Linked DNA regions of Coturnix japonica. The protein of the gene in region 1 purifies or fractionates together with the protein of each later gene. This does not show direct contact. Links are inferred from orthologs where the notes say so. Each region holds a gene or a part of one and is shown in the gene's direction. Other genes may lie near its edges. The genes, in order: SSH1 and YWHAE.

What was found.
Region 2: the proteins of SSH1 (region 1) and YWHAE purify together in Homo sapiens (affinity purification with mass spectrometry; 3 studies listed by BioGRID and IntAct, with this or other methods). This does not show direct contact. The link is inferred for Coturnix japonica from reciprocal best matches to the Homo sapiens genes SSH1 and YWHAE.

The regions. Positions count from the first base shown.
Region 1 is NC_029530.1:5,729,250-5,745,712, reverse strand, and holds part of SSH1 (protein phosphatase Slingshot homolog 1), read left to right. Parts: intron 1-975; coding exon 976-1,016; intron 1,017-3,456; exon of another isoform or gene 3,457-4,130; intron 4,131-6,482; exon of another isoform or gene 6,483-7,458; coding exon of another isoform or gene 7,459-7,544; intron 7,545-8,381; exon of another isoform or gene 8,382-8,512; intron 8,513-9,906; coding exon 9,907-10,010; intron 10,011-11,369; coding exon 11,370-11,434; intron 11,435-12,012; coding exon 12,013-12,134; intron 12,135-13,651; coding exon 13,652-13,720; intron 13,721-14,110; coding exon 14,111-14,176; intron 14,177-15,431; coding exon 15,432-15,626; intron 15,627-15,866; coding exon 15,867-15,960; intron 15,961-16,463. UniProt on the Homo sapiens protein: Protein phosphatase which regulates actin filament dynamics. Dephosphorylates and activates the actin binding/depolymerizing factor cofilin, which subsequently binds to actin filaments and stimulates their disassembly.
Region 2 is NC_029534.1:3,991,661-4,008,123, forward strand, and holds part of YWHAE (14-3-3 protein epsilon), read left to right. Parts: intron 1-7,793; coding exon 7,794-7,993; intron 7,994-12,312; coding exon 12,313-12,419; intron 12,420-13,082; coding exon 13,083-13,289; intron 13,290-14,025; coding exon 14,026-14,162; intron 14,163-15,738; coding exon of another isoform or gene 15,739-15,746; exon of another isoform or gene 15,747-15,785; intron 15,786-16,463. UniProt on the Homo sapiens protein: Adapter protein implicated in the regulation of a large spectrum of both general and specialized signaling pathways. Binds to a large number of partners, usually by recognition of a phosphoserine or phosphothreonine motif.

The DNA.
Region 1 (16,463 bases):
AAACAGACTAAAAATAGAGCTGGTATGCTTCCCTCCAGATCGCCGTCCATTGCGGTTGTTTGAGATGGGATCTGTGCCTCTTTCTTCCTCCCCATGGCTGTTCTTTGGTACCCAGACTGCATGGTTGTGTGCTTCTTGCAGGTTGCAGACTCTGACCCCTGAGTCAGAATGGGAGAAGGATGCAGAACAGCCTGGTCCCTGTGTGCACTGTGCACACACTCAGCTTTTTAAGCTTAAACGTGTGATGTGGAACTCCTTGCTTGTTCTTGAGTCGTGAGAAACCACCTTGGAAACAACTCACCCTTCCCAGAGCCCTGTTTGATGTGGGATTTAAGCAGTGTTAGTAAATAGCACCAGCAACATTTTGTTAATGGGGAGACACAGACCATCAGGAGATGCTCCATCTGAGCTCTGCTGTCTCATGCACTGCAGGTCTGAATAGAAGTTCCCCTGTTGCAGCACAATCCATAATGTCCTGGATCCCCAGCACAGCCAGCCCTGCAGGGGGATGCTGCTGCCTCTCATTCTGCTCATGCAGAAGCAAACGAGTGATCTTTGAGCTTTTTTCTTCCAGTCAGCTCTGGATGCAATTAACCCAAACTCTGTTTTCCTTTAATGTGGAATTTGGTGCATGAGCTGGTGGGGAGGTGGAATCAGGCCCAGCCCTTCCCAGCACTCATTCAGGACAGCAGCATCTCTCCCATGTGCACAAGGCAGGTTGATGTGCTTCAGAGTGATGCACGCTGCAGGACCAGCTTGCAGGATTAGGGCCTAATAGCCTTAAAGCCCCCGTGAGCCCCTTTGTCAGCAGACATGTATTGCCAGAGAGTCTCCTTTATCCTCAGCCCTGCAAAAACATGGGGCGCAACCACCCACTGTTGTTAGGATGGCCTTAAAGAGTGTGTTCTTTTCCTATTAGTCCTATGGAAACAACCAGCGTGTAACTTCTTCTGTCTCTTTCTTTTCTCCCCTCAGCTGGAGGCTGGCAGTGATGAGGAGCGCAAATTAAATGTGAGGTAAGCAGAGCTGTCTGGCTGTAAGTGTTGTTTTTGCTGTTGTTAATTGTGTGCCATGCATTGGAGTCCCAGTCCCACCCAAAACTCTGGCTGCTCGCTCCCCTTTCACTGCCAGCCCTGTGGGAGCTCTGCACTGGGGACAGCCTTCACCTTATCAGCTTGAGTTTTAGACAAGGGCTTAATGAACTGAAAACATAAAAGGGAGCCTGCTTTGTTCCTGATGAAAAGAAACTGGATAATTGCTGATCAGTTCTGATCCCAACACTTAGCTGTTATCTCAGCAGCTCTTTTTTTTGCTGAGGCTTTGAGTAGGGAAGGAAAGGGAGCAGAGTTCTGATCTTTCCTGGCTGTGAAGCCATCCCATAAAGAAATTTTGCTTCCTGGATTTTGGGATTGGACTGAGTTTATTCCTATGAGGAGGAAGGGAAGGCTGAGATGCCCTGCTGGGAAAGGACAAGGCTTCCCTTAGTGACACTGTGCAGGCACAAGGAGCAGTAACGACACAGGTAGTTTGGTGGCACATCCACCTAATGGGGCTCTGAGTGATGATGTGGGTTGCTCACTCCAAAACCAGCTGCTGCAAGTTACCCTCTAACCTGTAAACCACAATCCGAGAGACAAAATGTACAACACATCAGTGCTTGTGCTTCTCATTACAACTTCCTACTGGAGAGAAAAGCAAAGCCGCAAACGCTGCTGTTTTGAGTTTGTTCTTGTTCTTTTTCCATTCCCCTGTGTGGTTTGAGATGTATTGCAGCAGCGTTGGAAAACTTGGACTCTGGCTGCAACAAGGACAGAGCTGGCTGGGGTTGGATCCATGACACACATCAGGTTTGTGGATGTTAGGGCACAAACGTGATTATCCAGCAAGGGAAATCAGAAAGGAAGGTTGTTCCTTCATGGGACAGGAGGTGATGTGATGTATGTGTGGCATTGATGCAAACACAGCTTTGGTGATAGACGACCATCCTCCTTGCAGGAGTTGGATGAATCCCACCCTCTCCTGCTAGAGCTGCTCTGGATCAGTTCCTTGAGACTTTACCCGGTGCCCATAGGGTGGCAGAATTGCTCAACTTCATCGTGCTGCTTCTGCAGCAGCAGAGGGAACAGATCTGAAATAAACCCAGGAGTTGGCTGGGATGGTTTTAGTGGGTTTTAAATCCCAGAGCAGCCTTGTTGGAGTGTTGGGTGTCAGCTGTGCTTTGTCACATCTGCCTTGAACTCAGGGGTCAACATTCCAGCACGCAACTTTGCAGACCTCAGAGGCCCTGGTAGGTAGAAGGAAGGGTTTGTTGGAAACAAGAGCCCAGCCTGCTGCCAGCTCAGCCTGGGTTTCATGGGTACAGAATAAATGTGCTCCTACTCAGTTATGATGTAGCTCTTTCATCCACACGAACAGAGGATTCTCATTCTAGGCCATGCAGTTGGATCTGGTGATGTGAGCTATCAGACCTTTTCTCTCTGACACTTGGAGGAAGTGGTTTGTGTCCCAGATTTAGAACTGACCGCACGTTTTGCTTCTCTTTGCTCTGAGTTCCTGCACGGTTTGTGCCATTCCAAAATGCCTTAAAACAGAGACAAGGCGTATATTCAGCTTTTCCTTCAGAGATGTCACTGTTTGTATTTTAGAGACATTACTGTGCTTAGGAATCCTCCTTTTCTCTCACCTCCCAAAGGCATTCCAGCAGCCTCATCTCTTTCATTGCATCATCTGCTGCAGTCCTCCTTCCTGAATGCTGCCCAGCCATGGGATGCTCTGCCTTCAACCTTTTTTCTCCTGCAGAGCATCCACGTGATCTTGAGAAATCTCATCCAAGGCGAGGTTACGTTGAGCACACAGGGCTGTGTGTTAGCTCAGTTTCAGTGGGGAATTAGGTGGAGCCTGCAGGTTTATGAGCCCTAACCCCAAGCCTCTGCAGCCCAGCAGGAGGAGGATCACCGCAGGCAGGCTCCTTGCAGAGCATCGTTCTGCTGACATGCACCAACAGCCTCGTTAGGAGGAGCTCGTTAGGTTAAATTAATTGTAACAAAGCCGGCTTCTGCCTGGTGCTGCGGCCACTTTGGCTGGGGAAACTGAGCCACGTGCTGTATGGGGAGGATCTTATTGTATTTTATTCTATCTTGGATTTTAACTCACAACAGGCTTTTATTGATGCTTTGGTCTTTAACTTCTGCAGGGATTTCTGTGCATCTCAGCTGATGGCAGCACGCTGTGGATGGCTCTGAGTGGCCGTGCTTTGGTGTTGGGGGATATTCGGGGTAGGGGCAGCTGTGTGACAGTTGTTTGAGGGGAGGTCTTAGGGCAGAAGCTGCTGACTTTGTGCACTGTTCAAAACAGGATGCTGAATCACATCCTGGCCGGGCTGCAGCATCCTGCCCTGGCGTGCTCTGTACAATGGAGCAGTGAAGTGACGGGCTGGTGACCTGCTGGTGTTTCTGGCCTGAGGTGTGGCCTCGTGAGCCCGTGGGGATATCATTGGGCCTCACCATGTTGCAGTGGGGATATCAGGGCGAGCTGGGGAAGCTTGCACTCCTCTCCCACTTCTTCTTTGGGATTTGGCCTTTCCAGGACACTGCTGCAGGCTTGGTGCTGAGCAGCAGGATGAGTTTGCTTGGACAGCTGCTGGTTTGGAGATGCAGTGATTAGACCATTTAGGAATTATATATAAATCTTCTATTTTTTTTCCTTCTTCCTCCCCCCCAAACCTCAGCAGTTTGGCCAAAACCCTCTGGCCATGTTATCAAAGGAACCGACTGCATGCTGAACGCTTTTCTTTCCTGTAAAGGCCAGTGTGGTTACTGTTTACTTAGGCACCAAAGAGCCGGGTCAGGAAAATATTTTGGTTCCAAATGCCTCCTGATTTGTTAAATACTTTAATCTTTGATAATCAGCTGCCAAGATCTGCGAGATCAGGGATTTCTCATACAAATGGGGCCGTGGCCAACCTGACAAGTGCCCTTGGGAGGTTGTGGAGGATGTGAAATGGACAGGACACCTTCAGAGGCATGGCTTCACTTCCAGTGAAAAGCACAGAGGTTTTTATTCCATCAGCATTCACACGGTGCTCAGAGCTGTGATGTGGAAGCACTCTAAGGGCACGCTGAGAAAGCAAGGTAAGGCAGGCATAAGAGCAGCCTCAAATGAATGGCTCACAGCACAAAGCACATCCTCTGCACATCAGAGGGACCTCTGCAGAGCTTGCTTTGCCTCTCTGCCCCATGAAGAAGGCGGATGGAAGGGCTGAGGGCTCCACTCAGCCCCTGTGCACTCATCTTTCCCTGCGAAATCCACTCTGCTCACCCTTTTCTCTGGGGGTTCAATGGGTAAGGCAGCCTGCAGCAAACGCTAGAGGGGGTGCCTGTGTCAAGCTGGAACTTCTCCTACCCTTCTTTTACCCTGCGTGATGCTTCAGGATTTATTTTATTGTATTTTGACACGTTACCAGTGTGTCAAGTACTCCCTGGTCTCCGCTGCCTTTTTTGGAGTCATTCTGAAATGCAGCAGCGGAGCTGTTTTATGGGTTGCTGTGCCACTGCTGCTTCCCATGCTGCTGGCTGTGTCCTGGCTGACCTTCGCTCGCTCTGTTTGGGAGCTGTGTTCTCCAGCCATGGAACCATCCTTCACCTTCCTTTTCTTTTCCAGCAGTGTGGCTGGAGAGTTCCCACTTGTTCCTTGTGTCTGGGAAGCGCTGACAGTGGGTGAAGTGGGGTAACTTAATGACACAGCTCATTGTTTTCATCCCTTAAGCTGGAGGATGGGGCCATTTCTACCAGCTCAACTGGGGAATGGGATGGAGATCAGGGCAGGAGCTGCTCCTGGAGGGCTCATACCGTATCATAGAATGGCTTGGGTTGGAAGAAAGCCTCACTGCCCTCATAGAATCATATTGTAGAATGGCTTAGGTTGAAGGAGCTGTGGCTTTAGCATGGCAAGAAAGAGAAATGTTAGGAAAAAGAGCAGAAAGGAACGGGTAGGACAGCACAGGGCAAGGGAAGGGAGCCAGCATTTGGGGAATAAGCAGCTGCTGGATGGGCTGAGGTCTGTGGGGGGGGTTTGGCCCTCCAGCTGTTACAGCAGTGACCTCATTTTCCAGCGGGAATCTCAGAAATGCCCGCTGCCATTCAAAGTGTTCGCTCTGAGCATGTCCCATAGCTGGGGATGCAGCACTCAGTGCCTTCCCCATCTCTGCAATTAATGGGATGTGCAAAAAGGATCTGGTCTTTTTTACTTTTATTTTTGCCTTGTGAAACAATCTCTGTTTTATTTGGCCTTTCACCATCACGTACCAAGGATTCCTCGCATTTTCTCTCTCCAGGCCATTGGGAGCCGTTCTGCAAGCTTATTTTGCACGAGTCTCTGCTGAAATGGGGAGCTGCGTTTGCTTCCCTCTTCTTGCTTCTCTCTCAGACAAGGCTCCAGCTGTTACCTGGGTCTTGCTCCATGCCAGAATGGTGCTGGGATGGCGCTTGTCAGGGATAGCACAAAGCCATGGGATGAGAACGGAGCTGCCGAGTCCCCTCTTGTCCCCACTGTCCCCACAAAGCAGGGCTGAAGGCTGCATGGAGTGAGCAGGAGTGGCTGGAAGCAGTCTATTTATCTTAGGAAATCAGCTTTTGTGGGCTCCATGATTGATTTCATTTTTCTTTTTCCTCTTTGTGCTGGAGGAGAATTAGTATCTGGCGCTGTGAATGGCCTGCAGTGTCTCCAGCCCTTCTCAACATTCTTGTGCTGTGAATGTGGCCCACGCCTTCAGCCTAACAATGCGTGTTCAGACTCCTTGCATCTCCGCAGCCCTAAACACACCAGCCCTGCTGAGTCTTCTGCTCTCCTTACCATTCCTTGGATGGGGATGGATGGGGGATGCCCTGACTCCGTGGGGATGAGCTCAGGGCTCTGCTGTGGTTCACGGCTGATGTTTTTGATTCTGATGTTTTGGGTTTCTTCATGGTGTGGCTGCTGTTATTTTGGTGTGGCTGCTGAAGCCTGGAAGCAGCCCTTGTCCCCAGAGAGCTCCAGCTTAGCCCCAATGGACCGATGCCTTCCTCTGCCCTCATGCCATTTTTGTGTGTCATTCTGTTAACAAGAGAGAAATTAAGAGACTTAATTTGACAAACATTTAGTGACAGGAGAGCATGGCATGGCCCTGTGCCTAACAAGGCTCCATTGCAGAGCATTGCTGGAGCACAGCACCCTGCAGGGCACACAGTGTGGGTGCTGCTGAGGATGGAGGGTGACTGTAGACTGCTTGTTTGCCTTTGCAGACTCGGGGAATGGTGTTTTGAAATGATTATGAGGCGCTGCCTATTGTGTTCTGAAGCGACTTGAAATGTAATTGATGTGTGTTACAGCCACGTTCTTCTGGAGCTTTCCCAAAGGGGAAGAAATATTTCCTTTTAAAGCTGAGCAGCGTGGAGCCAGCGGACAGAGCAAGGAGGTGCTGTAGTCAAGAGCCATCTTCTCCTTGCAGAACTGCAGGCACAGCAGGGCCTCTGTTTTAAGGCCAGCAAAGAAATGCAGCTGTTCTATCAGCACCCTCCTACTGACACTCAGTTCTCCCAGGTGCCTGTAAGTTTAGGTTTTAGCCCTCTTAAGGGGCTAATGTGCTCCCACTGAGATCATTTGGTAAGGGGATGCACTGCAGCCCTCTTAGAGCTCCCAGATCCCATGCTACAGCAAAACCACTATGCTCAGTGTTTCTTTGAGAGCCCAAAGGAGCTGCTGGAAAGCAGTGATGCAGGTTAGGATTACTGGGAGGGCATCCAGCAAATTGGAGGGTTATGCTGTGTGCTCCAATGGGGCAGGACAAAAAGGGAACAAAAAGCTGCTTCTTCCTCTGGGGGGGACTGGTGCTGCTGTGGTGAAGGAATTAATCAAGGGTTGGTAAGAAATCAGTCTTCATTGAATTTGGTTATAGGGAGTCCCTAACAGAGGAATTCCAAACCACCCGAAAGAAGTTCTTGTTCAGCAGCGCATCAGCACATGGCTGCACCATAAGCTGGGAAGTATCCTGATCTGACCACGATGCCTTTGCCACGTAGACATTCCATTACAGGGCTTTAACTGTAAAAACCAGCAGGGCACTGAGCAATGTGGGATGTAAGCATCAACGAGATGCTTTTCACTTCATCCTGCCCTGCATCGCTCTGTGAGCATGGGGAGGAAACAAACAGCTCGCACCAGTCTGTAGGAGGGAAGTGATTAGACGAGCTTCAGCTGTTTTTTTCCCCTCTTGAATGGCCTTCTTTCATCAGGATATGTTAGGACAAGTGCTTTTTCAAGCCAGGATATCAGTGGAAGACACAGTGTTCTGTAGAAGTCATCCAGTTCCTGGGTAGCATCAACAGATGCGATTGCTCGGCGCAGAATATACGACCGACCTTTTCTTTTTCTTTCTTTTTGTGTGGGTTTAGAAGCAAAAGGATGTGAGTTTTACAGCTAGTTATGAATCTTTTCGAATTTACTGACTTCTGCCTGACTCTTGGGCCAGCACAATGCTTCTGCTGTTCAAAGAAAACCAGTCCAAATTAGTATGTATAAACCACTCGTATTTATGCCACTAACAAACGCTGCTTGCTAAGGCTGGTGCTGGGGAGGGAGCTGGGGGGGCTCTGTAATGATGGGGTTCTTCTTTTGTACTTTGGGAGGTTTCTTTTGTTTTTAAAGCTGGAATTCGGGTGTTTACTGGGACTGCAGGGTTTCAGAGCATCAGAACGCTGGGTTTTATTGCGTCACGCTTTTTTCTCACTTTTATTTTGTTAGCTATTAGGGGATTTGTATGGAGTGGCTGAGGGCAAAGTGTTCTCGGAGCAGAGTTAAGGGTCAGCATTGGGTAACCTCACCATTTTGCTGCGGTGTCCCGGGAGAACTCATAGTGGTTGTTGTGCAGCACTGTGCTGGTGGCATCCAACAGCAGCTGGGGAGCATGAGCTGACTTAGTGCTGTGCTTTGCGCACATGGAGACGCAAGCATTTAAGCAAGAACACTTTAAACTAGTAAACTAGACCAGAAATCTTGCTCTCAGTCACTTCTTCAGATTTGCTTTTCAGTTCATTGCCGTGCAGATAAATACCCGGTGGCAAAACGTGTGCTGTACTGGTCAACCTCTGCCTGCAGACACTTCTGCTCCCCCAGCACAGCTCTCCAACTGGGAACATTCTGTCTTATTGTGAAGGTTTCCTGCCCGCAGTGAATGAGAGCGTTAGGAGCTGTGTGTTATCTAACCATTCCTTTCCTCTTGCTGATAAACCAGCTGGGTATGCACGAGGCTGCTCTCTAGTGAACATCCTATACATTGTGTTGGTGTTGCGGCTTTGATGTCACTTCTGTCCTTTTTTTTTAACGCTTTCCTGTTAGATCTGGAGTGAGAAGGAAACAGGGCTCTTCCTGCCTTGCTTATGGGATGGACCAAGAACCTGCCTGCAGGGATTCTTGCTGTCGGTGGGTGCTGGTGGTGAGGGCTGCGGGGCCATCGCTGACAGCTCCCGGTGAGCCAGGGGTGAGTGCTGCAGGAGCAGTAATGGGGAAAGCTTTGTGCAATTGTCCTGCCAATAGCTTGTTGGTCTGAGATAGGGCTGAGGGAGCCTGGAACTTGTGCTATGATTTTTAGGTTGCTTTTTAGGAGGGACTGAAGTCTCAAATTTAAACCTGTTCCAGCTTTTCTGGGAGCTTTGAAGAACGTTGTGCATTCAGGCAGCTAACTGCAAACTTTGGCTCTGTCCTTGGAAGAAGGAAGACCCAACTTGGAGCAAGAGCTGGGAAGGCTTGAATTGATGACTTTTTACCACACTGCTGGTGCTCAGTGCTAGACAGAGGCAAAGACACCAGAGACATAGCACAGAACAGATGAGCACTGGGAGCTGCAGCTCCTGTGGGACCATTTGCTGTAGCATAAGTAACTCCAGCGCAGCACAGCCTCATCGTGGAGCTTTTATATTTAGTTGATAGCAGCCAGTAATGAACAGTTGTGTATGTTGGGAAGTGTGGGATGGCAGAAAGTCGGGCTCTGTAGCAAGGAATGTCTCCTTGCCTGACGTTTGGAGTGGGGTAGGAAGTGCAAGGTAAGCAGTTACTGTGGCAGATAAAACTTAGCTTAGGAGATGTTCATTTCCAGCCCTGTGGGAAACACCAACTTTACCACTTATGTCCAGGTCTGTTTGTGAAGTTCTCGCAGTGCATTACAGGACTGTGTAAGTAGGCTTGTGCTGCTCCTTGCTCTAACTGCTGGTTTTGATTGGCCTTCTCGTTAGCCGTGTTTCATTTGATCATGAATGCAGCTTTGTGTGTGTGTGTGTTTGTGCTATGCCCTCTCTTCCTATCAGCACTGTTTCCCAGGTCAGTTGTATCTCAACAGAGCAGAGAAATGCCTTTGCTGCTGGGTCTGTTGCTTTTTGCCCTGAAGTTTCAGTTCATTCTGTGCAGGTTTCACCTTCCCTCCCTGCCCTGTATGTCTGTGATTTATAGCCCCACGTTCTTGTTTCTGCATTCCAAAGGAATCTCAAGAACTGAAATTAATAGGGATTGATTGACTCGAGACCTGATCCGAAGTCGTTTACAGGTCTAAGCCTGTAGGAATTCTTACCCACTACTGTTTTTAAGTTACAGAATTTGATAATCAAGTGATAAAGTCGTTTCAGTCCGTGACAGCTCAGGCAAGCATCTCCTGCTATGGCCAAGCAAGAAAATGTTGGTGGAAAATGACACCATTCTTTGTGAATAATCCTGGAGCCATGCCTTGCAAGTGGCAGAATCAACCTTTGGGAGCAGCTTCTTGTGGCAGATCCTGCTGTGTTTTAACAAAGAGAAGCCCTTCCTTCCCCAGGCACACCGACTGGAGCACACGTTTTGCTGCTGTTTCCTTTGAGCTGACTTCCTGTGTCCTTTGTTTTCCAGCCTAAGCGAGAGTTTTTTCATGGTGAAAGGAGCAGCCCTCTTCTTGCAACAAGGAAACAGCTCCCAGGGCCAGCGAAGTCTCCAGCATCCTCACAAACATGCAGGTATGGATTAAAGCACGGCCTGATGCTCTGTTCACTCTTCCATCCCCTCTCCCCTCTTCCACACTGACAGCCCAATAGCAGGTGTGGGTGGTGGATGGCTCCTCTGACTGTTAACAGTGGGTTTTGTACAACCTGCTGTGGAAAACCAGGTTTTCAATCCACGTGTTTTGAATATGAACATTTGGTGACTGTGTCTTTGTTTAAACTTTTGCCATCCTCTTGGAAATGTATCTGGAGCAGGAATTTATTCTTTACAGACACTGTGGCATTCTGTAGCCAGCAAAGCCCTCTGAGCCAGAGTCTGTGCCGAACCCTGTCTTCTGCAGCCTGCAATGAAGAAATGTCACTTATTTCTGCTTCAGTGGTTTGATCTTTGCCTTCTCCTCTGGCCTGTGGGGAGGAAAATGCAATGGGTTGAGTCATGAGGCTCCAGCACCCCTTCTGTGGTTACCGAGCTCCTGATTCAGTGCATCAGGGACGTTTCTCCTAAGTGCTCTCCCAGCCTCCCACAGTCTGACTCCATATGACAGCATCTTTCTTTTTATTATCATTATTTTTAAACCACCTGTTGTTAGTTTTGTTCAATGCTACTTCTCAAAAGTAAGGAACACTTTTATTAGGATTTGAGGCCCTTTCTTAGCTCCTTCCACCCCCTTTTCTGCTTTCAGGAAATCCCCTTTTCAGTTAACTGATCTAAATCTGGCCTGCAGACATTTCTCATGGTTTGAGAACATCTTGTCCTTTCTCCTGGCGCACTCCAGTGTTCCAAGATGGTGGGAGGAGAGCTGTGTGGTGAATGTCTGTAAGGGCTGATAAGCCGACGGGGTTTAAGGAAGTTGGATCCCACTCATCCTGTATTTTTATGCCTTCTGTCGTTGATGGTTTGGTAATAAGTGGTTAAGGGGCAAGAAGAAATAAGCTCATCAGGGCATTTTGAGTGCAGAAGCATGTGGGAAAGGCACAGTGTGGTACTGTGTGCCTGCTGCTTAGTAAACACTCCAAGCACAAAGAGGCTGTTTGAATGCCAAGCGTGGCTTTGGGTTTCTTCAATTGTCAGCAATTTCATATACCCAGCAAACATCCTACGGAAGGAATTTTATCTTTTATGGAAAGTTATGAGTGTGTTACCAAGTTATTAGATGTGAATTTGGATTGTTTTCTTGTAGATTCTTTGTTCCTTTTGCTCACTTTCACCGAGCAGAAATATATCCACCACTTTGGAGCAGTTGTATGAGCAGACCTTTAGTTGATGCAGAAGGGATGCATCACCTGAATAGAGCCACTCCTGCAGCCCTTTCTCCTCACAAGCTGCTGATGTTCAAGTCACCTGTTCTGATCATTTCTCTGCTCTCACTGCAGGTGATTTGCCCCAGCACCTCCAGGTGATGATCAACCTCCTTCGCTGCGAGGATAGAATCAAACTGGTAAGAACAAGTGCATTTTCCTGCCTTTCTTTCTGTTGGAGGTGTTTGAAGCAGATCTGTACAGGGTCACAGAAAGCATCGGCAAATCCGTGGTTGGCTTCAATCTGCTGCACTTGGTTGCCAGCCCCACCATGCTTCCCTGTGTGTTCCTTTGGGACTGATCCTTACATCCAGGATATGAGTTGGGTCTGTGTTAATTACCTCCCTCTAGAATGGCAAGACAGAATGTTTCAGTGAAGGCTTGTCTGTGTGGAAGAACCCTCTGGGCTTCTCCAGCTTAGTGCACAGTGAGTGCTTCTACCCACTTTTGAGTTAAACATCTTTAGAAGAAATCTCCAGGTTGGGTTTGTTAATGCTTCAACAATGTAGGACAGATCATCCAGGCTGCTCTTATTTCTAATCTCCTGATTCCAAGTCAAACTGGCAACTGGCCTTGCTTGGAACTACCTCTTTCCTTATCTTTCATTCTGCAGCTAAATAAAGCTCTGAGGCACAATTACACCTGTAAAATATTAATCAGCAATGGAAGTAAAGATTATCCAAAAGCAGTTCTGCAGAGCTTGATGTCTTTTTCCTAGGCTGTCCGTTTGGAAAGTGTGTGGACAGACAGAGTCCGGTACATGGTGGTTGTGTACAGCAACGGGCGGCAGGACACAGAAGAGAATATTTTGCTGGGTGTGGACTTTTCCAGCAAGGAGAGGTACGTCTAAGGCAAAACTAGGCTTGGAAATCAGGCAGGCTGGGTTCTCTGGAAAGCTTGTCAACAGCCGTCCCCAAGCAGTTAATTTTTACGTACTCTAGCAAAAGAAGAGACATAGCTGTTAATTCTTCTGACTGTTGTGAGAGCGCTTTTTGTCTCAGAGAACTTTCAGTCTCCTTAGAATCTTTAGGCTCTCTATGCAGCTGTGGGCAAAGCATTCACTTGGAATCCATCTGGAGGACTGTGGTATCTACCTCATCTGTGGTAGCTTGCTGTCTCCTCACTACAAAATGCTTCTGTGGAAACGTTTCCTAAACTGGAATTTATTTGCTCCATCAGACTTCAAGTCTGTTCGTGGTGTGATGCAATGGAGCTGTTTCAGGTAGGTTAGCTGCCAAATAGGATCAACAACAACAGTGCAGAAGTACCTCCAAAACCAACAAACAAATGTGTTAGTAATGAGCTGTTCCTTTTGTCTGACTGATAAGAGCCCAGAATGTTTTGAAATGAAAATAAAACGTTGCTGCAGACCTTCTCACATAATTCCAGTTATAGGTGAGGAAACCAAGAACAGCTCTGAGCTGGAAGAGGTGAGGCTGCTTTGGCAGAGCTGGAGTTAGAAGGCAGAGCTTCCTGACTTGTTTCTGTTCCCTGGTAGATTGAGCACACTGCCATGCTGAGCTGATATGGCCAATGGGACTTTGTGTTTTTGTCTGGAAAATGTCTGTGGATTGAAGTGGGAAGGGAGAGCTTTTGCACTGCAGTGAGACCTGTTAGTGAACTCCTAGCAGTGCCTTCCTAAGGAGACTGTTGACTTGGCTTTGGTGCTGCTTCTGTGTCTGCTCTTAATTACCACTGTTGGTGTTAGGGAGGAAATTCCAGCATTAAATTCCCTTCTGGCATATTTGGTGTGCAGCAGCAGGGAGCGTTGGCATTGTCCTCTCCAAATCCATGGTGACCTTCTAGTAATTTGCCCCTGGAGGTGATTGTTGTGAGATGAGAGGAGAGATGGAAAAGTAACAGCACATCCATCCTAACTGCAAGATCCGCTGCTGGTTCATTCAGTTGCCTCTGAAAACCGAGGGATTTGTTAATTAAGGAAAAGCGTCACACATAAAGAAATCTGTTGGCATTAATGACTCATCGAGGGACTCCAAGGCTCCATGTTGGGGCTGAAATGGCACTTCTCAGCTGTGTGCTGGCTGCTGGCAGTTGGGCTGGTCAGGCTTTTGTGGGCTTTATTCCTTGTACGTGTTTTTAATAAGAAACTTTTTTCCTCTCAGAGTTTTAGGGCGTACGTTGTCTACGTGTGCGTTCAAACTGGCTTTTGTCAGAGCCTTTGATTCACTTTAGTTGCCCATTTCCTTATGTGCTACACATTAAATAGCTGAAGATATTATGAGCAATTACTAAAGCAAGGCTAGTGGACTTTAAAAATTAAAGACTATTAATAATTGAGGATATTGGCATGACTGCATTGTGGCCTATATTTAACATCCTTAACGTTTCTCTTCCAGTAAAAGCTGCACTATAGGAATGGTTCTTCGTCTGTGGAGTGATACTAAGATCCATCTTGATGGCGATGGGTAAGAAACCCCATTGAAAGGATAGACATGAACGGCCTTCCCTTCTGGGGGTTGCTGTGGGATAGAGACTCTCACCATACAATTGAAGTCCCGGTTTCAGATTCGTGGCTGCAGTCCTTTAACTCAGACACTGAGTTTTTCTTTTGCTGCCCTCAGAACGCTCAGTAGAACCTGTCGTATCCAGTAAGTGTTTACCAAAATCCTGCTCCAGGGGTGGAGCTCCCATTCCTGGCGCTGTATGGCAGGTGTCCACTAGTTGCTTTTGTTAGGGAAGATAATGGAAAATTGGTGATGGAAATTCTCATCCCTTATTCCTTTAGATTATCTCTGAGAAGCAGCCTGAGGTGCAGAGAAGAGCAGTTTGTGACTGTTTTTTCCCCTCTCTCTTAGTGGCTTCAGTGTGAGCACTGCTGGGAGAATGCACATCTTCAAGCCAGTGTCGGTACAAGCCATGTGGTATGTGTGCCAATTAGCTTTACTGAGAAAGAGGCTGTAATTTCTGTGAATGAATTAACAACAAACAAACTGCGTTTTAGCATTTTCCATAACTGGTATTTATCAAGCTGCAGCTGAGATGCTGCTTCCCTCTATCAGCTGGTAGTAATGCTATAAAGGGGCTCTGGGAGCACTGATCCAAAACCAGCGTCTTCTGCTGCAGCTGTGTGCTCTGTGACATGAGAGCAATGGGAAATGGCACTAATGAGACGTACAGACCTGAAAGCCCAACGTGAATTCATCAGGCTGCAAACCCAGCCTTTCCTCTCCACGCATAACCTCCCTGGCATGAGGGAGTCTTGTGACCCATTGCCAATCTGATGGCATTTCCAACTCTGCCCCATTCCTGGGGCCAGGCTGGGGCTGCTTCTGCATGGAAACTTTCCGTGTCACTCTGCAATCATGCTTACCTTTCAGCTCCTGTCACCCCTCCCATATGCAGGGATTCCAAAATGCTGAAGCAGAGACTGTTGAATCAGCAGCAGCTGTGCCAGCAAATGCCTTCTTGAAGAGGCTTTATTTGCCCCAAACAGGACAAATGCCTCTCGTTGGGTACTTTGTGGAGCCTCAAAACTCCTGTGCTTGTGATAGCTGGTAGGGACAAGATAAAGGGGTAGAGAATGGTGATGTGTTAGGGATGGTTTGGTACAGAAACAAACAAAACTTGTTCCTGTCATTTTTTGAACTCGACCCCTCCTGTTGGCAGCCTTAGATGTGGTTAATATGTTCACTACAACGACATCTTCAGAGCAGAGCATTAAAAGAAATAAATAGAAAGGAAAAATGGAGGAGGGAAGGGAGGAAAGAAAAAGTAATGCTAAGTTTTACAAAAACAAATGACCCAATCTGGGCCCTGTCCCTGGAGCGTGTCAGGGGCCAAGAATGCTGTAAATATGTATTTGACTCCTTGCTGAAGGTGGTTTGAAAATTGTCCATGTTCTTTATTTTCCTTTGGTCTGGCTTTACAAGTTAGCTAATGATTAGGTCCCACAGTGACTGTGCCTCATGCTTGCCAGTTGATGAGGAGAAAATCTGAGCCTCCGTCTCAGATGGGCTCTTGAGAAAGCCTCCAAGATGCCCCATGAACTCTGATGCAATAAAGCTGCAGCTCTCAAAAAAGCAAACTGCAACACAGTGATAGAAGTCTTCTATGAAAATCTCTTAATCCTGGTTTATGTGTGCTTATGCCTGTACAATTTTGTTCCCAATCTTGCAGGTCTGCTCTACAAATCCTCCATAAAGCCTGTGAAGTTGCAAGAAGGTACAACTACTTCCCAGGTGGGATGGCCTTGGTCTGGGCTACGTACTATGAAAGCTGCATCAGCTCTGACCAGAGCTGCATCAATGAGTGGAATGCCATGCAGGACCTGGAGTCCACCCGCCCTGACTCTCCAGCTCTGTTTGTTGACAAGTCAGTTCTCAGTTTTATTATGAAAAGTCAACTTGGTTCACAAGAGAAATCCCCTTTTGTTCCTCTGGCAGTTAATTTCCTTTCTCTACTTAAATGCCTTCTAATGTTTTTCTTCCATTTTCCTGGTCAAGATGCTTTCAATGCAAGTCCTTCCCACCAGCCCTCTGTGCTGTCCAAGTTGCATTGTCTCAGGAGTGTTTACTGCTGGTTTGGAGACATCCTTTCCCTTTTCCTTTTCAGGCCGACTGAAAGGGAACGAACAGAACGCCTGATTAAAGCCAAACTCCGGAGCATCATGATGTGCAAAGACCTGGAAAATGTGACTTCGAAGGAGGTAAATAGAAAAAACTCCTGCTCTTTTATTCTTCCTGCTTTTCCTTTTCCAGAGGATATTATACTGACAGAGAGACATTGTATAATGAGGTGCCCTTGGCTTTTGAATGTATTTCCAACTGATCCTCAAAGGTTCTGCTCTTTGGCTTTGCTACACCTCTGTTTCTCTATTTGTAAAAGAGAGTCATACCAATATTAGAGCACAGTTTTCAAGACCTTAGTAACAAGCCAGAGCGGTGTCGGAGGTGATACTTCATTACAACTGGCAGCACTTGTGGGCATGTCCAAGCAGTGAATTTGGAACCACTTATTCCTCACAATCACACAAGCAAAGATAGCTCTCTCAAAAGATGCAGTTACTGGCTGTGTGTCCTCCCAGCTGTGACTATGCCCCGCTGTTTTAGAGAAGCATCCTGGTCTTCACTTGTTCATGGACACAGAGCAAACTGTGTGCTAAGTAGCAGCGTTTTCCTTTCTCCTCATTGGCTTTACTTCAAGGTTTTG
Region 2 (16,463 bases), on another chromosome or scaffold:
TCGGTTCGCCGCAGACAACGCCCCGCTCTCCGGAAGGTTCGTGCCGGCCCCTCGGGGGGGGCGATGCCGGAGGGACCCGAGGGAGCGGGATGGCGCTTCTCTTTCTCTCCCTTCGCTTTCCATTGGAGGCACGGCTCTCATTCACCCTGCAGCCGTCTGGCACTGCCCGTCATTACCTGAAGGAAGAACACATGCTTTCATTACACGCTGGAAATCATTACAGACCATTTTACGTTCCCACTTTGTCTCTTTTTTCCTCCCCCCCCCCTTCCCTCATTTGCCTTATGAAATTAGAGCTCTGATCCCTTTATATCTTGGGGAAAAAAAAGGGGCGGTGGGGAGGAGCTGGCAGCCCTGGATGGTATTTCTTGCCCCCAAAATGTCTGCCGTGTGACTGTTCCCTTCAAGGTGCTTTTCTTGCCTATAGAAGAAAGGGCCTTTAATTTTCTCAATGGGGTTGTTATTTCTGCCCTTAGATCTGTATTTCAAGTGGAAGAAAAGCCGGTGTGTGTGTAAAGGGTGGGAGTACAGTTAGGTTTCATTTAGAAGTGGGGAGATGCTTTGGGTCCTTTAATTGATCAGGGTTTTCACAGAGCAGGGAAGTCAGCTGGTGAGAATTAGGCTTTGTTCTCTGAGTTACTGCTTAGAAAACTTCTGATAATGGGATTCCAAAGCTGAGAAATACACCTTTTGGGGGAGGAAAACAGAAATGAAGGAGTAATTAAGACCATCTGCAGTGAATGTTCTGGTAGAAATGGGGTAGGAATAAGAATCGTACTGAGTGACAGCAGCCAGATAGTCTCCTTGTTGTAACTGCAGGGACTTGGGGGAAAAAACGTCCCCCAAAGCAGGTTTTGTGGGGTGACTTGTGCCCACCCCTTCAAGTAAGATGCAGCTCATAGTAGGAGAGCAACATCTGTGGGTACAAGTGGTTGAGGAGGGGGGTGTAGATTTGGGGTATCTTGGTTTTTTTGTCTCCTTAGGAGTGTGGGATGGGAAGGTGCATTGTTCTCATTGCTGCCATCTTCCACAAAGACCACAAATCCAGCAGTATTGGGGTGTGTGTGGGGGAGGGTTTGTTCACCTGGTACAGATGAGCCTCAGCGCAGGGGTGAGCTGTGGTTTGAATGGAACTCCAGGCTAAGGATGTTTGGGGGATACATCATCCTTTTGAGGTATAACTGATGCTTTCCTAGCTGAATGGGAAGTCACTTCTTTGGAAAGCAATCAGACCTTCCCTTATTGTAGAAATCTGCAGCACAGCCTGATTTCCTTATCAAAAAAGGTTGATAGAGATAGAAATGCCACACAAAGGCAGTCAGTGGGCTTCCAATCCCAATGCTCCAGTGGGTGTTTGAAGAATGAATTGCCTAGGTCAGAATTCAGAGGGCTTCTGTGTGGCTTCTGAGTGTTAATAAGAACACCCTCACTGAGGAGGTAATGATAATCATAGTGTTCTTATCTTTAAAGCAATATTGTGGGATTCAGACTTGCAGAATTTGTTGGCATGGAGTTGAATCAACAAATTTAAGGTGCATCCCTTAACTCTCCATGTTGTTCTATAGCTTTCCGCCTTTTTTTCTGTCCCTGGCCTGGAAAAATAAATACTGTAGGTACAGGTTTAGCATCTAATTCTGTATCGTTCAGTTGGAAGCAATTAAAAAGTGAAGAGTATATTCTCATTTACATGAAAGTAAGTGCTGAGGCTGCTCAATGTGAATGAAATGCTGTGGGGAAGTGAAGTGATGCTTAGTTTCATTCTTTAGTTTTACCTTTGAGATACATGATGGTGAGGTAATAGTGAATAACTTCCAGATACTACTGATGGTAAGTACTGGCTACAAATGTGCTGGAATAGAAACCTGTTCTGTGACTTGAATATGAATGTAAAATGACAATTTTTGATGTTTAATGTTAGGATAGCGTTACGTTCTGCCACATCTTTCTCAGTGAGGCTCAGCGTGCTGTGTGGTTAGAACAGCCATGGTCCATGGCATTTGAGGCAGCTTCTAAGGTAGGAATCTAATAAGTTTTTTGGGTTTTTTTTAGTTACATGACCCACTTAAGTTCTGAAGCCTTGCAGGCTGTGCCTGCCAGTTGTTGGGAATGTAGTTCTGTCTCTGTACAGCCCTTGGTGTATCGGCCCAGATTAAGAGGACAACTTTCTTAGGTGCCTCTGCAGTGTAAATAATGCTTAAAGCTGTGATCCCTAGAGATAGTAAGAGATTTGGGTGTCTGTCTTTACGGATCTACCCAGGCGTGTCATGACAGATCACAAAATGCCGGGCAGCCTACTTGTATTAGAGAAAGCTTTGTGACAAATCGTACTTGAGGAAAAAAAAAATCACATTTACCTGCACTTGATAGAACCACAGAATGGCCTGGGTTGAAAAGGACCACAATGATCATCTGGTTTCAACCCCCCCTGCTATGTACAGGGTCGCCACTGCCCAGAGCCACATCCAGCCTGGCCTTGAATGCCTGCAGGGATGGGGCATCCACAGCCTCCTCGGGCAACCTGTTCCAGTGCGTCACCACCCTGAGTGAAAACCCTTTGAGTTCCTTCAAAGATGGTTCCCAATTGCGTAATATATATAAAATGTCTTTTCTGGGAAACAACTGGAGTTGATAAAATTGCGTTGGTTTATGAAATCACTAACTCTTTACTTTCTCACATCAAAAGATTGTATGTATCTGCGTTCTCATGGACTGCTGAATGTCAAAACTAACTCTCTGTTGCAGAAGCTAGGTAGCACCTTTCTTCTCATCAGTAGAGAAGCATGCTAGGATAGAAGGTAAGCTCCGAGTGAATCCTGTGGGTGCTTCAGTCCTGCCAACAGATTTGTGCCACAGATCTTGAAATACATCATTTGAAGTTTACCCAGGGTGTAGCAGGTGAGGATAATAGCTCTGTTTACAGCTGGGAAGAAGATAATTGACAGCTCTCCTGATTCCCAGTACAGCAAGTCAACATGTAACTCCTGTGTTGCTATTAACTCATTGCCAGAGAAGCAAACCTTCCCTCTGAAGGCAACAAGGTGTGCACTGAATCCAAAATCTGAACATATTGTAGAATGAGTTGGCTCACAGTAGCAGGACTTGCAATTACAGCTTGCTGAAGAATCAAATTCTCACTTATGAGATAGATGAATGATTAAGTTGCTCATAATTTTCAGTTTGCAGTGGTCCTCTTTCAAGTAAATAATATAAATGCATCTGAGGGGTGTAATTCCCCTCTGCCCAGCAGAGCTGTGTGAGGACCTTTGATAATTTGCCTCTTGAAACGTCTGAGATACCAGAAGTGTTGAGCATCCAACCTTAGATGGCTCAGTGCCCTGCAGGAAGCCCACGTACTGGGTTAGTGTCCATTAACTTACTCAAGTTCTTGTATTAGGAGACTCTTAAGTAGCAGATCTCAGTCAAACTGAAATGTATGATGAGACTCAGTCCTTGTTTGCCTCTGCTTTCAATCTGACTCTTCTGTTAGTAGGAGTCCTCTGTCTTTTAGGAAGATACATCTTCCTAACTTGAAGATATAGAAATGACTTAGAAATCGTGTTGGTAGGTTGATTGTGCAGAAAATGCAACTGTTAGTTGAATTATTTGGTCTCGATCATCTATTTCTTCAAGAGCATTAATATGGGATTATGCTCTGTAGAACTGTGTAGTTCAGTCATACAATCAAACATTAGAACTGTCTGGGGTGCACCAACATTTAAGACCTTGGTTTCTTTTGGCTTGGATTCGGGGCTGATCATTGCAGTGAATAGGATGGTGCCTGCTGGTATCACATGGATCAGAGGGCTGCACGTCTGGAGAGAATGGAATCTATGGGCTGTAGTTCTCATGGTTACACATCACTTAATAGAGAAAACGTGTGCCATTATTTCTCCTGCTCTCTTTGGTCTTTATTGCTCTTAGCAATTTGCTGTGACTACTAAATTAGTATTGAATACTCTTTTATTCTGTATCGCTTACAAATGCTAACATGCTTCCTAGCACTGATCACCGTGTGGTTCCACTGGTGACCTTACTCTGCTTTGAACACTGAGCCTACATTCGTACCCCATTAGCTCTCTTTCATCCAGGTCTCCATTCAAGAGAGGATCTGATCTGTACCTGATAGCAGTAGAAATCCTTAAAGATCCTCCGATGAGGTGCCTTGGCAAATGCCGAGTGGTTTTTGTTGTCACTTCTATAAATCACTGACCTAGACTTCCATTTTCAGTCTGATGATAAAGCTGTCAGGTCGGTTCTGGTGTTGGTTGATATGCAGTGATTCTCCTTCCTAATCTGCTGTTAAATGTTGGTTTCTGTTTTGGAAAAGCTTTGTAATTCTTCTACAAAACGTGTAGTGTGTTGGCTGCTGCTCTTCCTTACAGAGGGATGCTCCAGATCCTGGATTGTTCAGTCTTTGGGAGATTGAGGAACAGAAAATACCTTGAGTGTCTTTTTTTCCCCCTGATAAAGAGGCATTCATTCTTTTGTTCTTTTGTTCTCTGTTTCCTCATCACTTGTGCCCTAATAGATGGCTATCAGTGCTGTGCTTCTCAACACTTATAAACTTCCCCCATTACTTTTTAGCGCACAGTAAATTAACTTTGTGGCTTTGTATGGGTCCATTAGCATTTAAAGCAAATGGCTCCATTTCTTGCACAAGCCTTGTCTGTTCTGGATGCTTCTCTGCTTCGTGATGGATTGCAGTCCACCCATAGAACTACAGTACTGCATTGTATTGTTCTTTTTTCCCCTGTGGTGCTTTCAAGGAACTGTGTTTTAGATCAGTTCCTTTGACTCGATATATCTATTTTTAAAGACATGGATACACCCTGAGCATTTATAAGTTTAGTTTTGGCTGTTCCTCTACCTTTTGGAAAAGGTGGAAAAACCTATAGTTATGCTTAAGGGCTTTAGAAAGCTTCATCGTGATTTACAGGCGCTCCAAACTCTGTATTTGGGGACTTAAAGCTGTAGTAATCTTCTTCCTCTTTAAAACAGAAGGCCTAGCCCCGAGGCACATCCCCCTTGGAGGTAGTAGCCCTTAGTATGGCAGCCCGGCTATTCCTTTGTGCTGCTCAGGCTGTGGTTGTGTCCCTGTGTGTCTTCCACAGCAGCACCAGCAGGAGCCAGCCATCATCCTGGCAGTGTTCAGCTGTAGGGACAGATAACTAATAGGTTTTGTTGGACTGTTGTGGAAGCGTAGGCAGTGTTGTGTCTCACTGAAATGCTTTCCCCCCCCCCCCCCATAAAATACATAAATGGTATTACCTGCTCAGTCAGAAATGTTCATTTGTTAAAATACTTCTCAAAAACAGCCCATGGCAGAGGCCTGGGGAAGGATTGAAGTCAATAGATATCCAGAATATTCTCCTATCTTCTCAATTCATACTCTGGGGATTTCCTGCTCTGATTGTGGCATGATGTGGCAGTGGCTTAATAAGGTGACAGCCACAAGGCTGGAACTTAACCACTTAATGACGAGCTCTTTTTGAATCCATGTGATGCTGCTGCTTCTGTAATGCAGCGTTAACATCTTCAGCTGAGGTGTGCAGTGGGTTATCATTGCTGCCATAATCCTTCTTACTGAGATGTAATCTCAGACTTGTACTTTGTCGTGAATCGTCTCCAAGCTTTTCATCTCTGCGTAGGATCTTCCAGACAGCTGAAGCTGCACCTAGAATATCAAATACTTGTTCTGCTTGTGGGTGTGTGTCTTTGTATAGAATATTTCTTAGTCTAGAATAAGGCTGGTTTTTTTTCCAGTTGGTGAATGTACAGGTGTGATTTCCTGCTCCTTTTTCAATGATGTAGGAGCCAATAAACTTGCTGTACGTGTTTTTCACCTCTGTGCTCCTGGAGCAGTTAATTATCTACGTATGTCACACTGATGTATAAAGAGATACAAAGGTTTAGACAGTACAAGTTTGGGTGAAGGGTGGCGGTCACATTCAAAGATCTTCAGAGTGATGGTGGATGCCTGGAAATGAGCATGAAAGATGAGCACAGCATCACCACCTCCCCTGTTATCTGCATTACTTTCTAGGGGGTATTTCTTCTGCTCATGAACTCATATGACTCCTTTCATTTCAAGGAGTGAAAGGAGGGCTGTGCAGTCACAGCTACGGGTTCATCGCTGAAGCTGTGGCACAGTTTCAATTACTTTTCTTATCTGAGGGCAGTTAAACATTAAGCTAAAATACAAGCCTTATGGTTCTTGCTGGAGCTTGGCACAGATATCCAACTAGCTGGGACTGCGAGTCTTCATTCGTGTTGGTCGTCCTTCACAAGAGCAAACACTGTGGCAGGCAGACTGCCTTGAATGTACTTGAATGCTGCATAAGTAACATGAAAATCTGAGAACATAACTCATGATTTAAGGAAAAAAAGATCAAAGTTTTGAGATGATTTGAATAGATGGATGGGTCACCCTTTAGGAAAGAAATCCTAGAGCATGCACTGTTCAAGTTGTTTGCTGTAACTATATAGCACTGCTTTTAGGTTAGTTTAAATTATGAGACTGTGTACTTACACTAAGTATATTTAAAGAGCAGTTTAGGATGACTTTCTGAAATCTTCATCAAAAAGAGTTCATTTTAAATTGTAGGGTGTGGAAAACACTTACCCAAGTATCACTTATTGTTACTTCATGAGCTGGAGCAGCAGAATGTACTGGTAGAGGTAGGGCTGTTTTTTACTCCTGATGAGAACAGAGCTGCTATTAAATTGTCCTGCATATGTGGCAACCTGCTGGAGACTGATAACACCATTCCTGCAAGGGAGAAAATTGAGGCTGTAGTTCTATTACTGAAATGGCTTCTTTCCTGTGAAGGTGATGAGTTTGGGCACCTGATGGGGGAAGGGAAAGACAATTCAGATTCACTTGCATCTTCTTTCTTACTGCCATTATGCAGCAGAACATGTGAAGGTTTGGGGGTAGGGGAGGATGAGGATGTGAGGTAGATAGGGTTAGGGGCTGCAGGGGGCTCAGTCTTGCTCGTTAATGGCTTTCCTGTCTGTGGGGTTCTCATCTGCTCTAGAAGCTGAAAGGTAAAGGTTGAATGAGTGAAGCACTTGTTAGCAGGAGGTAACGTAGGGCTTCCGGGTATCTCAGACTAAGCTCTCTCAGCAGATATGTAATAATTTCAGCCTTTATGTTTCTGTTAGGTCATAGGAAATCATAATGTGATGAGGTAATGAAAGGATTAAAACCTTTAAGTAATTTAGGTTTTTACTTTCACTGGGACGTAGAAAAGCTGTATTTAGTAATCATTTTTTTTTTTTCACCTGAGGTTTGGGAGTCTTTTCTAAACGGTTTAATCTATAAATACAAATTACATTTACTGTGTTATTTTTCCAGTGCAAATAGTTGCTTGGCATGGCTGGGTGGTGCTGCTCTGCTTATCCTCAGGAGGACTCTCCTGTCACTTCTCCAAGCAGTTGATTTTTCTTCTGGTGGTTTCCTCGTGGAACTTCAACTTGCTTCCATAACGACAGTGTTCTTTCTGCTTTGCTTCTATGGAATCCTTCTGCTAAGCTGGTTTTGTTTGTGTCTCAAACTGTCTTGAAGGAATGTTTTGGGTACCCTTGTCAAATGCATTTGAAAGAGCATCAGGTAGTTCTTTGTGTATGTGCTCGCTGACTTGTTTGGAGCATTCCTCTATAAAAGCAAGGTGTAACTGGATGAAAGGAGGAGGGAGCCTATTTTGACAAGTTATCATTAATGCGCTGCTTCTCGTGAATGGTTTGAAAGATGCTTTAATACTGAGAATAACTGCGTGACCTTTTCTTCCTAGAAATGGTTGAATCAATGAAGAAAGTGGCTGGAATGGATGTGGAGTTGACAGTGGAAGAAAGAAACCTGCTTTCTGTTGCATATAAAAACGTGATTGGAGCCAGAAGAGCTTCCTGGAGAATAATCAGCAGCATTGAACAGAAAGAAGAAAACAAAGGAGGAGAAGATAAATTAAAAATGATTCGGGAATATCGGCAAATGGTAAGATGTAGTTGGTGCTGTAGTGTAGTGCCATTTAGCTAAGAAGATCTGGACTCTGGGTTTGTTACCATTAAGTTTAAGCACTCTTGTGTTTGTAGGAACAGGGAATATTAAGATATTCTGGACGTCTCAACTGTGAAACTTAGATGTATAATGAGCTGTAGGGCCTTGCTATTTTCTCCCTTCAGAAAGGGGGGAAGAATAGATGGAAATAACTGAATGGTGAGTCTAGTCAGCCTGTGCAGCTTTACCTAAAATGGAGAACTTGGAGTGAGCTGAGCCTTTCATCAGTGAGGGCTAATGAAACTGTTGGCTATTAGAACAGTGAGCTGTTCCCTGCCCCCCCAACCCTGGCCTCCTTAAGTGATGGTTTAATGTGGAGCAGACACTCTCATGTAGAATTGAAGTCCTACGCATTTCTGCAGAGACTTCAGATCCATCACTGCAGGATAAGTGCCTCCACGTTTCCCATCTTCACTCTCACAGAAACAGTGGAGTGTCTCTTTTAACTACCTGGCACTGATTCATATGCTGCCAATGGGAACGATGTTGGCTTGGGACTCCTTTCTGAAGAATGGCTCTGGACTGTTCTCTTTTGACTCATAGCATTTTGTTTGCTCTGTGGAATTGTTCAAGTTCTGAGTTTCTAATTTTATGCTGGCGTGCTGATGGGGTGCAGCTCTGCCAGTTACATACAGTCCCAAATACCATTTCTTGATGGGTATCTAAAATCTTCCAAGCAGAGCATATAAATTAAGACAGTATCATTTGTCTTAAACCTCATGCTTTGGGGTTTTTTTGCTTAACATTTTGTAGGCAGTTACTATCTTTTCCAGGGATCCTTTAATAGTGAAAAGACTTTTTATAGTCCTTCCAGAGACAATGAAGAAACACTGTTCTGCATCTCTTTTTAAAGCAAGAAAATGCTGTGCAGAATGGACTGGTGAGCAAGAACTATACACACATACACTCCTCAGAGTAGTGTATTGAGATAAATGTACAGGCCATGTAGAATGCACTGCTATACAACAGTACTTCCATGTGTTAAATTCTTCAAGGGAAGAGCCATCACAGGTCCTTTGGGTGCTGTGAGCTTTAAGTGGAAGAATGCTGTGGGGAGCACAGGAGTGCATTTCCATGGTGAAGAAAGAGTAGATGTGTCTGCCTGCCTGGCCTGAGTGCTCCAAGAGGCTCGTGCTGTTGGCTGTAGCTGAAGACCGAGTCTTGTTTGTAGCTACTGGAAGACTGTTTTATATGTGGAGAGCATTAATTGGATTGTTAAGGCAGAATTTGAGCACTGAGGGCCTAAAGAACATACACAAAGGTTTGGGTCCAGCTTCTCTTTTGCTGCTGACATGAGAGCTGCAGAACTGCCCTGCTGTCATACTCAGTGCTTGGGGGAGCAGATAAGGTCTGGAGAGTTGGGGTTATTTTGCTTACTGCCTGCCATGTCAACAAATACACGCTGTTGCTGCATTCCTGATTTTGAGCTGAATCTTGTTAAGAGATCCTTCCCATGCTTGTGAGACTCTGAGGAAGGAGAGGGGGAAAAAAAGTGCTTTTTCAGGGACAGGCCATGTTTAAGGTCCTGGGGAGTGGAGAGAAGCGTTGTCAGTGGAGAAATCTTCCCCTGTCACCAGAACCAGCGGTGGGTTTGCACAGCTAGAAATTGCTGCGTGAGCTGAAATAAAAGATGTAGCTTATGGGCAAGTGATGGATGTTTTTTTGTCTGTATTGGTATTTGTTCCAGTTTAACACTTTGGTTGTGTTCAAACTCCGCAGACTTTTAAGTTCTTGCCAGTATTACTTGGGGAAGATCTCAAGGGCTGATGGTGTGAGATGTTAAGGCGGATGAAGCAGAGCACATCGTAGCCGTGCGGAAAAAATGCTGCCTGTGTGATTCCTGCATTTTTTTGGATGTGTGGCCATGTGGATGGATGTGCAGAAGTGGAGCTCGTGGCTCCATTACATCTCTGTGCATGAGAACACAGGCTTTCTCAGCTTGCCCTTGAGCGGATGAAGCCGTGTTCATTTGCAGATGATGCAGCTCACGTCCTTGCTCTAAGAGCAAATCCCTTCGCTAATAGCATAGGACAAGTATTCACCTTCCCCTTAAGGTCTGTATTTACATGTGTTTCTAGTGCTTGTGCTTAACAAGCTGAGCTTGTGGGAAGCTGCCAGGCCACCTTCACCTCTTCATGCATCACATCAGGCTGTGTTGATGCCCTCTTCATTTTTCAGGGGCACAAGGAGGAAGGCAGCTCACAGGCTTCAGCAGCTGCTGCCGATTGCATTGGTTTCATGTTGCATCCCAGTTAGGAGGCACAGCTCTTCTGTGGGCTAAATACTGAATTGGGGCAAGGAATTAGTGCGGGCCCCGACCACCTGGTGGCTTCCAGTCAGTTTCTTTGTTAAAATCACTAGGTGGTTAAAGGGCTTTGTACCTGCAGAGCTGAGAACACAATCAAATCTGCTTAATCCAGCACTGCTACTAAAACAGAGGCACAGTGGATTGTGGCTGCACACGTACTGGGATGAGCCTTCTCATATGGCTCATATTTTATGAGGGGGGGCTGGGGGGCATAGTTCTCTTAGTGTTTTGTTCTTAACTCAGTTTGTATGAAAGCTTCTAAGTTTTAAAGCCTGATCAGGGTATGTACATCACCCTTATCAGCAGCTGATCTCTGGTAACTCGTGTGAGTGATCCTTGAAACACAGCTGAAAAAGATCTGAGATGAAATGGAAGTTTGTACATGTATGGTTTAACAAAAGAAGATTAGAAACTGATTTAATTCTTTGCAGTTTTGCTGAAGATCTCTGCAAAAGAAGTCATTGAGAAAGAGGATCAAGAGGAAAGAAGTTTGCAGGAACTGACTGCTGGCAAAGGTTTTATAGCTTTAGTAGCACAAGAATATATGAAGTAGATACTTCAAGTGACCATATTTCAGCAACTTCCTTAAGCATTAATATAGCATTTAACTCCCCACTTGAATGTTAGGGCATCCCAACATTGTTTACATATGACATTTACCATAGATGAATTTACCTGAAGGAGCTTTTCCATGTCTGTTCAGTAACTTGGTGCAATTTGGAATGTGCCAGTTTAACTTCCTTTAGATCTGCAGCATTACAGCTCTTGATGCTGGGTGTGGGTACAGACAGCGATGGTTTGGAGCTTTGTAGTGATTTGGCACAGTAAGAGCATCCTTATGTGAAAGGAAACTGCATGGGTGGAGGGGTGAGAAGGGCAGCGAGCTGGTGGGGCTGCCCTGTGATGTGAGATGTGCAGCTCCTGGTTCATTGAAGCTGATGTTGATGCCTTCCCTTGAAAACCTCTGCTCTATGGAACCTAACAGTGGTTTGAGCTGCATTTGTCTCTAGCTGTTGCTATGTAAGTTAATGCTAAATTGTGAGAGCAGCAGTGGGTTGCCGTGTACTTTGCCAACCCCTCCTACTGTGAGTAATGAGGAGTGCTTGGAACAAATCTGTTGTGGGCAATGCTGATGTGCAAAGACAGTTTTTAGGTGGTTTCTCTTGAAGGTGCTTCACTTCTTTGCTTTCAGGTGTGACATTTCCTATGGTAGAAACCAACCTTATAACCTTTGTTTTATGTTCTAAATCAGGAAGGAAAAGTGATGTGACCATTTCCAACTGTGGCCATTAAAGTCTCATATAAGACTATATACCGGCTTTCCTTTGTTGCTGACCTTGCTGTTAATGGTTTCTGCTGTGCTTTGCTTATTTTATTGCCTGCTTCTGAAGTTTGTATTTTTTCTGGACTTTTTCCTTCTGTCTGTGATGTTTTTTGATCTGTTGTTGCAGGATTTGTGTTGTAGGGTTCTCTGTGTCCCAAGTGAGCAGTGAAAACCTGTTGTGAACGTATAGCTTAACCCCAAGGGTGAGAGGGAGTTGAGCCTACCTCTCTTAATTGCATTCAAATTGTTCCCCTTCACCATGACCACTTTAGGACAGCCTTCTGGGCTCAAACATGTGAGGCACTGGTTGTGCAAGTCTTGCAGTAAGGAATTACTGCTGAGACAGACGTAATGCAACTGTCCAGCAAGATGTTTTCCAGGGAATTTGGGATTCCATTATTAGGTTATGCGTTTCATCATCCATCAGTTCTCGCCTCCGTGTCCCAGCTGATTGCCCTGTGCTGTTATTGTTTAATGTACCTGTGGACAGCTGAATCTTTTTATTCTGTTTTTTCTCATCTTCCCCCTCCTTGGATTTTTTTGTCACCTGTTTGATATTATTTTTGGAGCAGCCTTTAAGTCTCAGTGCTGACCTTGCCTCATTGTGGTTATTTTTCTTTTTAGGTTGAGACTGAACTGAAGTTAATCTGTTGTGACATTCTGGATGTACTGGACAAACACCTCATTCCAGCAGCTAACACTGGCGAGTCCAAGGTTTTCTATTACAAAATGTAAGTGTTGCCATGTGAGGTGAGGACTTCATGTTGTAGCTGGAATAGATAACAAGAATACAGTAACTATAAATGGTTGTTTTTTTCTGCGTGGTGAAGGCCAGTAATTTCTCCCTAGAGGAGGGCAGCTCAATGTGTGCAGTGAATATCCCATTGTCTGCACTTGGGCTGTTGGTGGCAGACAGGAGCTCGAGGCCAGTTCAGAATGAGATGGTCGGAGCTTCTCAGGAGCTGTTGTTCATTCTTTGAGATAATACAAGGATCTCATCTCTGCTTTGATATTTACATGTATGAACTGTGACCATACAGTCTTGAAGTGATCTTTATCTGTAAATGATCCCATCTATTTGAAGTATATTGTGGGTTATTTTTAAACCTGCAAAAAAATTTACTATTAGATGAGGTACTTGTACAGCTGCATAGGTGGGTAATGGGGAAGCCAATACTGTGATTTCTGTACCAGAGCAACAGAAATTTAATGCAAACCTTTCCCTGCTTGGTGATTTGAAACTCTCTGAGGTACTGAAGCACTGTTGTCTGGACAGTAATTCAGCAGTAACATCCCTTAATGTGTAAATGTATAAAATAAGTTTTGGAAGTAAGCAGTTTTTGTGGCTGAGTGTGGAAGTAAGGACTAACTTCTTGTTCTGCTTTTGCTTTCAGGAAGGGGGACTACCATAGGTATCTGGCTGAGTTTGCCACAGGAAATGACAGGAAGGAGGCTGCAGAGAACAGCTTGGTGGCTTACAAGGCTGCTAGTGATATTGCAATGACAGAACTCCCACCAACACATCCTATCCGCCTAGGTCTAGCTCTTAACTTCTCTGTATTCTACTATGAAATTCTTAATTCTCCTGATCGTGCCTGCAGGTAACTGAGAAGATGGGGGGGATTTTCTGTGCATGCTCAACAAGCTGAGTGTGATCCCCAGTTGGGTGTGATGTCTTTTAACTCAGAAATACTGGGTTGGCTTCTTCTTTTGTCTTTGATTGAGGTTAAGTCATGTTAATAGCTTTCAGCTTTTCCTTTTCAGCCCGCATGCATTTGTTTATCTGAAAGTAGATTACTGGAGAAGCAGAATAGCATTAACTTTGAGTCAGTGAACCAATGGCAGCCTGACAGCTTGCATGTTAACTCTGTGCATGTCCGTGTCCTGCAAGAAGTGTGAGGTAACTGAGCTCGCCTCTTGCTGTTGGCTCTTACACAAGTCTTATACAACGTGTGAGAGGTCATGGGCACAGAAATGAGTGACATCTTCAGAACTGTGATCTCATCTGTCTTCAGGGATTTAGTTTGTGTGGGCATAAAAACAAGGAACAAGGCAAATGGTGCGTTTCAGTCCTATCACTGCAGGTTAGGTGAGTGCTTTCTTAAAGCTTTTAGCAAACAGCAGAGCTGCAGGGTGTAGTAATGTTGAAGGAGACACAGATTGAGTCAGTACTGTTGTTAGGCACACAAAGCAGTCAGTTTGGAAGAAAAAAGATTGATAGAGGCTGTGTTGTCATACCGCCAACTAGAAGATGGGTGCTCTGAGTAATAGGTTTGTGTAGGCTTCTGAATTCCCTTTCCTAGTTTACGCTAAATGGGTTTTATTCTGTGCTTACAGGTTGGCGAAAGCAGCTTTTGATGATGCTATTGCAGAACTGGATACGCTGAGTGAAGAAAGCTATAAGGACTCTACACTTATCATGCAGTTGTTACGTGATAACCTGACACTATGGACTTCAGACATGCAGGGTGATGGTAAGTGAGCTCAGCTCTGAACTGCTGCGTCTCCTCATTCCTGCCCAGAACACATTCAGAAATATTTAGCTCATGAATGGCAGCAGTAAAAACACCAACAAGGAAACTTCTTCAGTTTCACACTTGAAGGTGTGAGATTATTAACACTGTAAAAAGCAGTGGCTTAATTAGCCTGTTGGTCTTCCAGTTCCCCTTTGAACCAGATGTGAATTTCCAGTTCAGGAGGCAGTATTGTGAGTGGTCTGATACCCTCCTCTCAGGTCACTTCTGATATTTGGATGTTTGAAAAGCTTTTCCTTCTTGAAGTGCTCCCAGCAGATGTTCAGCTCCTGCCTCCACAGGGGGCATGGCCAGAGCAGATGCTGTTTGTGTCCCCAGCACGGGCAGGGAGTGCTGCTTACCAACATCTGACGGTTATTTGGTGTTTTAAGGAGGCTGTTTCCTCTTAGACTTTGGTCTAAGTGCCAGGTGTAAATTACTTTGTTTGCCTTGTCTCACATACTGGCAGTTTAAACTCAGCTTTATCCAGAAAGGGAGAACTTGTGCTTTTTTGTTTTAAAAAATAATAATAATTGTTTTAGAATGAAGCTTTTAAAGCTGTTCCTTCTCTTAAGGTAAAAGAAGAACGTGAGTCCTGTTTGAAGTGTATTACACACTTAGATACTCAGAGGTCTGAAACATTCCAGCTTGACTTCAGATACTTAATAAAAGCTGTAGGATGCTTATTGAAGATATAACTTACACCATGGGGGCTGTCAGAGGGCTTCTTTTCCCAGTACTGTGTCCCCTCAGAAAGCAGCTGTAGCATTGCAGACTTCTTACTTGATACCATGTGGATGCTACAGTTAAAACGTTACCCCCATTTCTTTGGGCTTATGTGTGGGTGGCTTAGTGTGGACACTGCTCTGACACTGCAGTGCTACGAGGTGCCTCCCTTGCTGTGGTTGCATTTGGAAGCTTCAGCACAGCTAACAAGGCTGGATGGCTGATGTGAGGTAGCAGCATTGGAACATCTTCCAGAAGCAGCCTTTATTTGCACGTGAGCTGCCTGACATCTCATTGCCTACCACAGACATTTAATGAGACTGTTTGCAGAGTTTCTTTACGTGCCTTTTTCACATAATCCCCATCCACATTTCCCATATCATCATTAGCTCTGCAGTGTAGAAAACCAGTGATTTTGTTGTTCCTGAAGCATTTAAGAGCAGCATCGTTACTGTTCATGATGCATTCCAGCAGGACAGTGATTGCAGAGCTGCAAACACTGCAGAACTGCTTAAAACTTAAAAGAATACAATGTTTGAGTGATGAGTGCACACGTAGGTGCAAAGCTGTGCTGTCCTTATGGCATTCAGTAGGTGCACTGAGTGCGTTTGAAGCAGTTACATCCAGAACTCAGTGTCCCCAAATGGGCCAGAGCCTTTGAGTTCTGGAATGGAGTGTTACTCAGCAGCTGCACCTTTTCACCTCATGTACCAGTCTGAACCGTGCCACAAACAAGCTGTTTAGTTTACTTCAATGCTCCTGATGTCATCTTCATATGATTCCTATTCTCCCCTTCTTTCCTGCCGTATAGATTCCTAAAGGAAAGTCCAACTGTTCTTTTCCTAAAAAGTCTACTTTGTAAGTCCTCTCTGTGGCTCACTGAGCTTTGCAGCGTCAGTTTTCCTCTGACCACTAATCATGCTTGCCTCTGTCACTGTTTTGCTGCTGACAAACTGCTTGTATCTTGGGCTCATTCCAGGGCTAAGCCATGTTCTGATCTCTGACCTGTTGCTCAGGTCTGATACATGTAACTGAGTTCCAGCATAACCCCAGAGTTTGGGAATTTGAGCTGCATTCCTGGGTGGAATATTAAGACTATTTAGGCATGAAAAGTACTTCCACTATTGCCTGTGACAGGACTATCTGCTTAAGTGCATTGGCAAGAGCATGCTCAGATCTTCTAATCATCTTCTTTGGGTAGGGCCTTGGCATTCTTCAGTTAAACAGCCTGTTTCTGTAGTTCTCTATGTAAATTACGATGTTGTTGGACACCATGTAGCCTCCATTGACAGAGTGTCAGGGACTGGAAGGAACCTCAGAAGATCATTTGGTCCAACCCCCTGCTGGAGCATGAAGCCACCTCTTCCAGAACCTGCCTGGTGGTAATGCTGAATCTGGATGTGCTCTGAGCAGGTGGTCTGATAACGTACTGAAAGTCATCTCTCATCTGAGTGCATTTAGTTGCAAATCATATTAGGTTTTGGACGGTTCTTGTTTACGTGCCTTTAGGGCAGTGCTGTGTCACTTGGCTGGGGA